Linked DNA regions of Nothobranchius furzeri. The protein of the gene in region 1 interacts with the protein of each later gene in a pairwise test. Links are inferred from orthologs where the notes say so. Each region holds a gene or a part of one and is shown on either strand. Other genes may lie near its edges. The genes, in order: raf1a, rras and rras2.

Region 1 (3,750 bases):
GCACTTCACTACTATTGATACACGCTTGAAAGCCGAACTTTTAGTGTTAAAACCGGTTCTTTTTCAGACACATTAACACAAAATACAGGTTAAACCATTAAAAACCGAGCAGAAGTTCAGTTCGCTGTTTCAGGGAGGGCCTGCTGGCTGCTTCGCTGTTTTTGGTGAAACTGTCGAGCTTTATTTAAAAACACACTCGCTGCTACCCTCAACGTATCATTTTAAAGCACGAGAAAACCCACACGAGTATCCCAAATAGCTGTTTGTCCCTTGTTTGGTTTGAATGCTACACACTAGCAGCATTCATGCTAACCTGCTACATGTCAAAATCACATATGTGGACGTTTGATGAAGCAGCCATGTCGTTGTTGTAAACTGAACTCATGCTTGGGATGAATCAAGCGTTTGCAACAAATCTCCAGCGTTTAGCCTGTCTGCAGCAGATGTGCATTAACACAAGTACAGCAGACATGATAACAACACGAGTGTCTTCAGGGTCAGCAGCCTCCTGTATAAACCTGCAGGGTGGTGGTAAACACGTGAATGTCAAGAATAAACAAAAACCTTTTGGTTGTTTACATTAAGCTCAGTAGTTTGTGATGGAAACAATCCAGGTGAGTGGGTTTATTTGATGGCCTGGCCTTTTGTTTTCAGGAAACACATTTTGCATGAAATAGTCAGTTTAGCTCAGCTCATTGTTTTCTTCTTCTGGTTTATTAGCATATATAGGCCACACGCGACTCTTTTTGCGTGTTATAAACTTCCAGCCGAGACAAAAAGACCCGCAGAAACACACAACTCTGCAGTTTGGATTAGCTCAGTGTTTCTGGCTTTTCTCAGTAATTAATATGTTTTTATGCCACAATCCCCACATGCGATCTCTATTTAAAGGTTGCTGGAGGTGAGATTAAGTTTTGAGATTAAACCTTACAGCGCTCTAACCCAAATCTCATGTTTTGCCACTTTTCCCCCCCTGGTGTTTTAATCAACCGTGTCCAGGCCAGCAGATGCTGTTTCTCATTGTCAGCATAAACATTGTGTCTGTATGCCCCAAAACATGCATTTCTGCAGCTTTTGTGTTCTAGTTAAGAGAGCCAGTAAATGAGGAATGCACCCACAGAGATGGATGAGATCCAATGTGTTCCTTTGTGATCTGCATAGATTGTTGTGAGTATTTAGTTTTACTGATGGAGCACCTTCAAGGAGCGTGGAGAACCCTGAGTAACGGCTTTGGAATGAAGGACTCTGCGTTTGAGGGTCCCTGCCTTTCCCCGACTATGGTCCAGGGCTTTCCCCACCAGCGACGCTCCTCAGATGACAGCAAGGTGCCAGACTCGAAGGCTAGTAGCACAATCCGTGTCTACCTCCCAAACCAGCAACGCACGGTGGTGAGTTAGTTCTGCATTAGGAAACGCGTTTAGAGTTTCCACATTTAACACGGCGACCTCTGAATTCAGATCATAATTATTTGTAATTTCCCGTGTGTCAGGTAAACGTGCGACCAGGTTTGACTTTGTACACGTGTCTGATTAAAGCCCTGAAGGTGCGAGGGCTGCAGCCTCAGTGCTGCGCCGTCTTCAAGCTGCACCCAGGTCAGAGAAGGTGAGTTCAGGGTTTTTGGACAATTGTAACCAGAAGTAAGAAGATCACATGCTTATGTTTCTCCCCCTTTATTTCTACGGTTTGTTTTCCAACCAGTAGAAAATCTCGGATGGACTGGAACACTGACTCCACCTCTCTAATTGGGGAAGAGCTGCTGGTCGAGGTTTTAGATCACGTTCCGCTGACGACCCATAATTTTGTAAGCACCCAAGTCCTCTGCAGCGCCCTCACCTCCGCGTCCAGCGGCTAAATCAACACGTTCAAAATGCTTTCTGTCATTTCCAGGCTCGGAAGACCTATCTTAAGCTAGCCTTCTGCGATATTTGCCAGAAGTTTCTTTTAAATGGTTTCCGCTGTCAAACATGTGGCTACAAATTCCACGAACACTGTAGCACCAAAGTGCCCACGATGTGTGTGGACTGGAGCAACATCAGACAGCTCCTGTAAGTATCTGAGAGGGGTCTCTTATTATAAAAACAACTTTTGATTAAATGGGGGAAAATGGTGACATGGTGAAGCACAACATTTTTAACAAACAAATTACAAAAAAATACACCAATTAAAATAAGCAAGTCAGCACACGCACAGTTCGTTTATCTCCCTCGGGCTTTATAATTTGATTTATATTAGAAATGAGCTCACCCAAACTTTCTGCAAAGATGAACAGTAGAAGGAAGCTCTGCTGATATCCCAGTTTGCATAGGGGTGTGCTCATTTGCATCCTGGCACTGCCAAAAAGGCCGTTTTGTTTCATTTTGCATGCAGGCTGTAGATGAACAGTAATTCTGTAAAGATTAGTGTCATTTGCACACTGCTCTGTTGTAAACACACCCTCCTCAGGACTTTAGTCTCTTGTTTCTGTCGGCAGGTTGTGTCCGGTCCCCGGGGAGAGCGGCACCCCGTCACTGCCGCCGCTCACCTCTCGACGGATGAGAGAGTCTCTGTCACGGTTTCCAAGGTGACGTTGCTTCTCTCTACTTATTCATCACAAACCCTCTGCAGAAGGATAAAACAAGGTTTTATTATGCAGGTGAAACTGGAACAATACTTCAGAATATGGTCCATTTATTTATGTAATCCAGATTAGACTGAGAGGCCATCTAAAGGCTCAGGAAAACCTTTGCAGGTGTTTCAAGTTGAATTACTGACATAAATGAACTTTTGCACTGTTATAAGTTTAATTACCTCCAGATTAACATCAAGCTGTTGTAGACTAGATTACAGATTAGATGTTATTCGGCTCACATGTGGTCAAGTTTGGACTTTTTTAGGATCATATTTTAATTGTGTTGTATGTGTTTAAAAGGCTGTCTTTGCTTCAGGGAAGCTTATCAGTGGAAGGAATGATGTAACGCCGGGTGTGAAAAACAGCCTGTTGTTTTGATGGCTGATAAAGTGGTTTAAAAAAAACACCCAGGGTTGCTAAATTGGCTGTCGCTGCAAGTTGTTCCTTGCAGAAAAATGCGAAATGCTCGACAGGAATATTAATTCCTGTTGTCTAAAGCGGGACTGCTCATGAAGAACACCAAGGCGAGGTTCTGCTCAAAAACACAAACAGCCGGTTCCTCTGCGCCGCTTCTGGACGATTTCTCTGCAGATCCGAGAGCGGCTTTGCGCTGCTGTAGGATTAGCATATCTGGCTGGAAGGTTTTGTGCTCTTTAACCGATCTGGACACAAAGCCGCTCAGCCACACACGGCTAAAGAGGAAGACCAGTAACAAATACGAGCCCACTAGCTACTTCCCTTAAACAATGTAGTTTCACTCTTTGCTGTTTACCACACAGCTAAGGCATGTAATGGCTTCTGGTGCTGAATGTGTGGCAGTAGTCCAACGTAAACAAGGGTGCTTGACTGAGGAGAGTTAATGAGGCCACCTCACCCACACCCACACCCTCACCCGAAGATGTGGCCGACAGAAGCATCCACTGCTGGTTTGGTCGTTTTTAGCTAAAGGCTCGATTGTCATCCTGTCACAGCTCAGCCCACCGAAATTCCACCCCCCACGCCTTCAACTACGCCACATCGTACCAACCCACAGGCGGCGGTCTCTCCCAACGGCAGCGCTCCACCTCCACGCCCAACGTCCACATGGTCAGCACCGCCCTGCCCGTGGACAGCACCACCATCGAGGTAACAAGTTCTGGCTG
Region 2 (3,750 bases), on another chromosome or scaffold:
GTGATCGGTGCGTTACCGGATGACAAGTTGATGCGCCCCGCTCCACAGCAGCAAAACGCTTCAGGCGCAAATAGACAGAAAACATTAAATGAAACGAACCGACATGAACGATCGCGTGTCAGTACCGACGCTCTGGCACAGCGCGTTGCCCCCCCCGAGCGCAGGAGCTTGTCACCTGCTGACAGCAGGCTGCTGTCTTTTCCGAGGACTGCATCTTGCCGGTCATTATCACGTGACAGCGACTAGTCGATGACGGGCATAAAAAGTCACTACAGAGCGGTGAAGTCGACTAGTTCATACACCCCCTGCTACTGCTCCCCAGAGTGTTCTGCAGCATAATCAGCACGTTCTCTTTGAACTTGATATCAAATTTTTGCCTCCTCTTCGTCTCCACACGGTTAAAGTTACCCTCGCGGTCTATCACTGGCAAATCAAAAGTGAGACGGATGACACAACCGCGCCCCGTACTTGCTTGTTACCACATTCCACCCGGCCACAATAAAAAACCGGCCATTATTCACCTCCACCGACTCCGACACCGGCCAAAATATGATACCCGGCAGTTAATTGTAAACAGGCCTGTATTAGAGGATTTACGGTAGCTACACAGCTTTAATCAAAGGAGGTCAAGCAGGGATTCATCAGGAGATCCCCGATGTTCTAAACTCACGGTCTGGAATACCCCCCAGACACCACACACACACGCACACACACACACACACACACACACACACACCTTACCTCCCCCGGTCGTTGAGGGCGAACACCAGTAAGAATCCTTCTCCAGAGCGCATGTACTGCTCCCTCATGGCACCAAACTCTTCCTGACCTGCTGTATCCAGGACTGAACACACACACACACACACACAGACACACACACTAGTGAGTTAGCATTAGCATCCCCTCCGGACGATAACACACCAGGTTCGGTTGAACTTTGGTGCGTTTTAGCTGAAATGTGACCGTTTTGGGTTAAAAATGTGGTGAAACCATTAAAAGAAGTGCAGCTAAACAGACTTCATGTCGCTACAATTCCAAAACAAGGTCATGGAGAAACATTCCTTCCTATAAACGGATCTTTTGTCCCAAGCGGGTCGGGTCACTGCTTGTTCTGAGGTTCTGTTTGAGGTGTAAGAGGAGATCAGACGGCGTTAACCTGCATCAGAGTGGTGAAACACCAGCACAACCCAGAACACCCCACCCCGACCGCATCGGCCCACTGACAAGTCCAAACAAGGTGCTGCTGAAACCTCCAGAGCAGACACTCTGCCCATGTGCCTGTGAGCAACACCAGGCGTGTAAGTGAGTCAGAGCCTACCATCCAGCCGGGTCTCCTTCCCGCCCACGCTGCAGACCTTGCTGTAGGAGTCCTCGATGGTGGGGTCATAGTCTGACACGAAGTAGGACTGTGGGGCAGAGTCTGCGTTAGAACCAGAACCAGAACCAGCTGTACACGATCATCATTAACCACTGTTGTAGAGGTGGACCCGAAACTGGTCCGGATTCTACTCTGACATCAGCTCACCTGGTAGCAGTTTGATGGAACTACCTGGTCAGACCCGTTCTCCCTCTCATCAGAACCGGGTTCTAATGGACCCCTGGAGTAATCAACTTAGGCTAATGGTTCTGATCCAGTACTCACACAGAACACAGATCAGCCACAGCATTATGGGCTGGGTTCTGGTTGGACCATGGGTCCTGGACAGAACCAGATTAGAACTATCCGTGTGACAGTTAAGGGCGGAAACAATAACTGGATCCTGAAGAAGCTAAACCAGGTCCGGTCCAACGACTCGGCCAGAACCAGCCTATGGACACTGTTCTGGTGGGTCTTACTGGACCTGAGGGAACCGCTCGGGCCCGACGGGACCCGTTCTAAAGAACTTCAGATGTTCTGATCCACCTCTAGAACATTAACGAGCAGCTTCAGGAGTTGTGAGCGGGTCCGAACCGGACCGGCCTACCTGTATGAACTGGATCGTCAGGGCGCTCTTGCCCACTCCTCCTCCGCCCACCACCACCAGCTTGAACCGCTCCTCCTCTCCGCTCATCCCGAGTCAGTCCGGAGACTCCGTCCGGACCGAACCTTTTCAAGGCTTTAGTCCAACTGAAGGCCGAACTGAGAAAGAGTCCAAGTAAAGTCCACCCGGTACCGTGAACCCAAGTAGACAGGCTTGGCTGGTTTTATCTCCGCGGTTCTGAACTCATGTTCTGAAACGGTCCCACCGGACTTTCCCTCCCTGCTGGCCCGGTAAATTCACTGGAAAAGCGCCTTCTCGTTCCGTCGAGTTCTGCTGTGGTTCCGGAGCCTGGGGCAGATTTTGGGCGGAACCGCTTCCTCCTTCTACTCAACAGAACCGACACAATCTGCTACGGACGTGCTAACGGGCCGAGCCGGGTTGGGTTCGGAGGCGTTCGAGTCCGAAACGCCGCTCCTGGTCCAGATGTGCCGAGTCCACTCTAAACTAAACTTTTTGTGTCGTTCTCCTTATTTGGTAATTTGGAGGGTCCGTGACGTCACGAGAGCTCCTAAAACGTGTTTCCGATTACAGTCGCCGTTTCCCGCCGCTTCGGGACCTCGCTTCCTAATAAAACCCGGCTCGGTGTTGGATCTGGAACCGGCCCCTAGCCTCCAGCTACGCAGAACTACTTCCGGACTGGACCCGCGCCAAGCCGAACTCTGTAGCCTCGAGTAGAGACCTGCAGCGGCTCCACAGGAGCTCGACTTTAATGGGGTTTATAAAATAAAGCTGTATTTACTCTGATTACCGCTTTTACTGCTCTCATCCTGTTTTTAGAGTTCACCCTCACATGCGCGTCCTAAAATTAGAATCTCATGATAAAATACATTTATTTCAGTTATTCCATTTAAAAAGTGAAACTTTTATAATATATTTCAAATGTTTATTTCTTCTGATTTTGATGATTGTAACTGAACTAGTGAAAATCCCAAATTCTGTATCTCAGTCAGAACATTAGAATATTGTGAAAAAGTTCTATAGTGAAGACCCCTGGTGCCACAATAATCAGCCATAGTGATGGGAATTCCGGCTCTTTTTAGAGAGCCGATTCTTTTGGCTCAGCTCACCAAAAAGAGCAGGCTCTTTCGGCTCCCAAGTGGCTCCTCAGATTTTCTGTTTCGTAGAATACATTTATAACCAAAATAATGCTAAACTATATGTAAAATAATTTACTAATGTAAAAAAAAGCAATATATCAAATATTTATCATTCTATGGATTTAATAACTGAACACTTTAAGAAATCTCCATTTTCCGACTGCTGGCGCTCATTTTCTCACCGTCTTCGTCGCGCTCTCCTCCCTCTCGCTCGCCTTTTTCCTGCTCCTGATTCCCTCTCGTCTCCCTCCACCCGCATGTGCTCTGCTGTGTGTCTGTCTGAGTATGATCCTCCCTCTTCCCCACCCCTACTGCTCTGTGTGTGGACAGTCTGGACACACAGTTACACATGTTGACCAATCGCCTGTAGCTTTCACCAAGGCAGGGGGGAGGGGGGGATGGGACGGCTCCCAATGACAAGCCGGCTCCCGTCGTTCACTTCAAAGAGCTGGCTCTTAGAGCCGCATCGTTCGCGACCGACACATCACTAATCAGCCGATCAAATCAAAACACCTGTGAAAGCCTCTGAATGATCTCTCAGTCTAGTTCGTACACAATCACGGGGAAGTTCTCTAAAAGACGACCACTGACGCCTTGCATAAAGAGGGCAAGACACAACAGGTCATTGTTAA
Region 3 (3,750 bases), on another chromosome or scaffold:
CCTTCATTTTTCTCGTGTACCTTTGGTCCACTGGGTGGCGCTCATCAGTAAAATTGAACATAATTTATAACCTCATGCTACATGATGACATGCAATCAGTCCTTTTATCCAACTCGGTCCTTAATATCAGGTAAATGGGTTTCTGTTCTCTCTTCTACACTCAACACAAAACTTGTAACTGTCAATAAAACAAAACCAGGTCATTTTTTCATTTCAGCTTTGTTGAGACAGATATAAATGCATACTTTTCAAAAATAAACAACAACTGTACACTGAGTAAATAATTCCTTAGATTTAAAAACTAATATCTAGCATGCATTATTATGTTAATAGAAATGCACCCATTCTGGTTTCACAGGCCAATACTGATGTCCTGTTCTTGCACATCTCTGACCTGCTGATAAAGATTCTTATTTATCTCAACTAATTTTCTTTTTATTGAATTGAAAGTTAGTACTTTGGAAGTAAAAAGTACCTTGCTGGAGATCAGTTATTAATTGCAGAAAGTTTTATGCTGATCGGCTGATCACAGAACTAAATGTTAACTAAATGTTAACTAAATATTAACCATGTGCAGCGCAGCTTTTTAGACATGGGGATTTTCTTAACCCTTTGATGCATAATGGTCACTACAGTGGACAGGTACTCAAAATTGTTATTTATTTATTTTTGCTATAAGCACAGCTGTTGAAGACTTTATTGCATGTGAGCCCCTCCATTTGGACTTCAGTAAGTCAAGCCAAAATATTTCATGGTCAGAATGCACGCTGTCCACCAAGGTGGATATGTAATAAATTATTTGTAAATTAACAAAATGTTACAAAAAATATTTGTTGAAATTTGTTTAATTTACACCTAAAGATGAATGAAAAAAATTGTTTAAAAAATCATGGTTGAAGATTTCATAATTCATGCATCAGAGGGTTAAGAAGAAAATGTAGGCTATTGGGGGGGGGGGTACATTTTGGGCATAATTGTAGTTATGAATGCAAAACATGTGAGTGAGGTTAAAGATTTAGTGACAGGAATGTGTGTGTGTGTGTGTGTGTGTGTGTGTGTGTGTGTGTGTGTGTGTGTGTGTGTGTGTGTGTGTGTGTGTGTGTGTGTGTGTGTGTGTGTGTGTGTGTGTGTGTGTGTGTGTGTGTGTCCATAGAGAAGAGGGGCAGGCAGACCGCCTTTGGAAGGGCCCCTTGCGCCAGACATTAGCAGTGGCTTGCAGATTACTCGCTCTATCTGATCATCTTGGACGGCGCAGTGTTGTAGAGGCCGGAACTCGGTCAGGCGGCCGCAGTTTTCCAGCATCCTCCTCCTCCCTCTTGATTCGAGCACGTACCGGACGAGTCGTTTCGGCTCACACGCCCGTCGCTTCTTCTCTGCGTTCCGGTGTCTCCACCGCAGGGCCTCCTCTTCAGTTTTTACAAGGAGGGGGAAAAGTGGGTGTTTGCTGCTCACTGGTGTTTCGGCAGCGGCGGCGTGAAGTGTCCTCAATGGCAGGCTGGAAGGACGGCTCGGTGCAGGAGAAGTACCGTCTGGTCGTGGTTGGAGGCGGAGGAGTCGGAAAATCAGCCCTGACGATCCAGTTTATTCAGGTCAGTCCGCGTCAGCGCTTCTTTTTATTTATCTGCTTATCTGAAAACACTCACGGCCATCACGCACCAGAGAAGGAGGCCAGGGTAAAGGACGTGTTTCTGGGCTCTTCTCGACTTTACTGGGGCCTGCGAGTGCTCACCGAGGGGCTGGTGAAAGATTTCAGAGCGAAATGGGGAGAAATGAACGATGGTGGCTGTCACTTTAACGATTTCCGAGAGGAACACTTCCACTTTATATAGCCGCGAGTCAAAAGAGAAAGAAAACTGGGTCTGCTCTGGTCCGCATTTTAAACTTAAACTTTTAAAGATAGTCTGTTTTCGTGTGAAGTTGTGCAAGTGTAAAGAACTTGAGCAGCAAACCACATCAGTCAGAAGCAGGGTGTTTTAAATAAAACAGAGTGCTTGTAAATCCGTTTTCAGATCCACCAAACTGCTGTGAGTCGTTCTGCTGTGTCTGCATGCTTCCATGGTGGTTAGACCTCTCCTGGTTCTGTAAAGTTCGCCAGATTTGGTCAGGGTCTGAGCCAGTTGTCATCACAGAACTTAACTTTAATGTGTTTGTGTGAATTTGTTCCATTTGTCACTTAGGGACAGTTTTGTGTTTGGGGGCAAAGGTGTTTCCTCTGCCCAGGTAGGGGGTGACAACCAGGGTTTACTACCCATTCATCATCTCAACCACTCCGTCCCCCACTAGGCTCACTGGGAGCTGGTGTCTGTCTCCAGTGGTCATCCGACAAGAGGCAGGTGACACCCTGGACAGGGTCTCCAGTCCGTCACAGAGACGCACCACCACTTACACACATTCAGTCACTCACACCTAGAGGACAGTTTTAGTTTCCAATCAGCCTGACGTGCACGATCTTGCTCTGCGGGAGGAAGCCGCAGTAGTCGGATGCATGCGAAAACATCCAAACAGAAAGACGGCGCAGACGGGATTTGAACCTGTGACCTTTTCGCTGCACTGCTAACCAACTACGCCGCCATGCAGGAACTAGACTGAGAAAGTAGAGTTGGGTTGAGTGAGTTTCAAACACACAACACACACGTTTCTAGTGAATGATGATTAACTTCTGAGTTCAGATACAGACTTTTTACCAGCTGCTGGTTAGGCCCATTTTCAAGCCTTTCCAGTAAGGTGGACATATAAATACCTCTGGAGATAACGCTTAACTTGCACCCCCTCTTCCCTCAAAAACAATGACATCACCAGTTTTACTGCAGCCCACTTGAAAACCCCTGATGTCTAATGTGAAAGGCATGTAAACAGTGTGCCTCCCTCTACCCCAGGTTGCATTCCTCCAGACACAGCCCGCCTCGCTTTGACCTTCCAGGCTTCCATAATAGTCACTTAGGAGTGGACTTCTTTACCAACACGCACGCACGCACGCACACACACACACACACTCTTCTTGCAAGAGATGACAAACGCTGACCTTTGCCACACGTATTCCACCCCTCCCTGTGTGTCAGTGTGGTACTGACGCTGCTGCTGGCTTCCAGGAGACCAGACAGCAGGCAACTGCATGTCTCCACGCCATCAGACAATAGTGGGCTGGCACACGCTTCAGCGTGGGGCTGAAAAGCTCCAGAGTGTGTGATTTGAAATAAGGGGGGAGTTGGGTATAATGAGAGTTCAAAAACCTCATTAAGTGCATACCAAGGGGGAAAAAAAAGGCATGGCTATGCTTTAGCCTACTGACCTGAAGTAGGAAAACATGTAAAGCTGCATTACGCAATGCAGACATGGGACCTTTCACTTGGTCTAGGGCTGGGCGATTAATCGAAAATTGATCGTTATTGAAATTTCTGACTAACTATATCAATATCGTTTTCCCCATGTTAATAAATTTGGTCATAAAAAAAGGTGTGTAGGTTGGCAATGTTTATGGCTCTTTTAAAAAGCTGTACCACTTAACATGACTCAACACAATGCAAGTGACATCCCCATCTACACGTAGATATCATCCTTTTACTGTTACCGAGGTGAACTCCTCAATATACCGCGACAATGATTTAAGGCCCTATCGCCCAGCCCTGACTTGGTTTAAACGTACTGGGGTGATATATGCCACAAAACACAACATTACATTATACCATAGACCAGTGGTCCTCAATAGGCGGCTTGTGGGTCTGGACCTCTTGCCTCTGGGTATTTATTTTT

The links.
Region 2: the proteins of raf1a (region 1) and rras interact in a two-hybrid assay, tested with the Homo sapiens proteins (2 studies listed by BioGRID). The link is inferred for Nothobranchius furzeri from reciprocal best matches to the Homo sapiens genes RAF1 and RRAS.
Region 3: the proteins of raf1a (region 1) and rras2 interact in a two-hybrid assay, tested with the Homo sapiens proteins (2 studies listed by BioGRID and IntAct). The link is inferred for Nothobranchius furzeri from reciprocal best matches to the Homo sapiens genes RAF1 and RRAS2.

Annotation. Positions count from the first base shown.
Region 1 is NC_091755.1:58,343,440-58,347,189, forward strand, and holds the start of raf1a (raf-1 proto-oncogene, serine/threonine kinase a), read left to right. Parts: upstream 1-905; 5' UTR 906-1,136; coding exon 1,137-1,388; intron 1,389-1,489; coding exon 1,490-1,602; intron 1,603-1,698; coding exon 1,699-1,801; intron 1,802-1,887; coding exon 1,888-2,045; intron 2,046-2,470; coding exon 2,471-2,560; intron 2,561-3,579; coding exon 3,580-3,733; intron 3,734-3,750. UniProt on the Homo sapiens protein: Serine/threonine-protein kinase that acts as a regulatory link between the membrane-associated Ras GTPases and the MAPK/ERK cascade, and this critical regulatory link functions as a switch determining cell fate decisions including proliferation, differentiation, apoptosis, survival and oncogenic transformation.
Region 2 is NC_091758.1:13,997,741-14,001,490, reverse strand, and holds the start of rras (ras-related protein R-Ras), read right to left. Parts: upstream 2,639-3,750; 5' UTR 2,052-2,638; coding exon 1,965-2,051; intron 1,407-1,964; coding exon 1,319-1,406; intron 845-1,318; coding exon 742-844; intron 1-741. UniProt on the Homo sapiens protein: GTP-binding protein with GTPase activity, likely involved in the regulation of MAPK signaling pathway and thereby controlling multiple cellular processes. Regulates the organization of the actin cytoskeleton.
Region 3 is NC_091749.1:61,866,980-61,870,729, reverse strand, and holds the start of rras2 (ras-related protein R-Ras2), read left to right. Parts: upstream 1-1,158; 5' UTR 1,159-1,487; coding exon 1,488-1,589; intron 1,590-3,750. UniProt on the Homo sapiens protein: GTP-binding protein with GTPase activity, involved in the regulation of MAPK signaling pathway and thereby controlling multiple cellular processes. Regulates craniofacial development.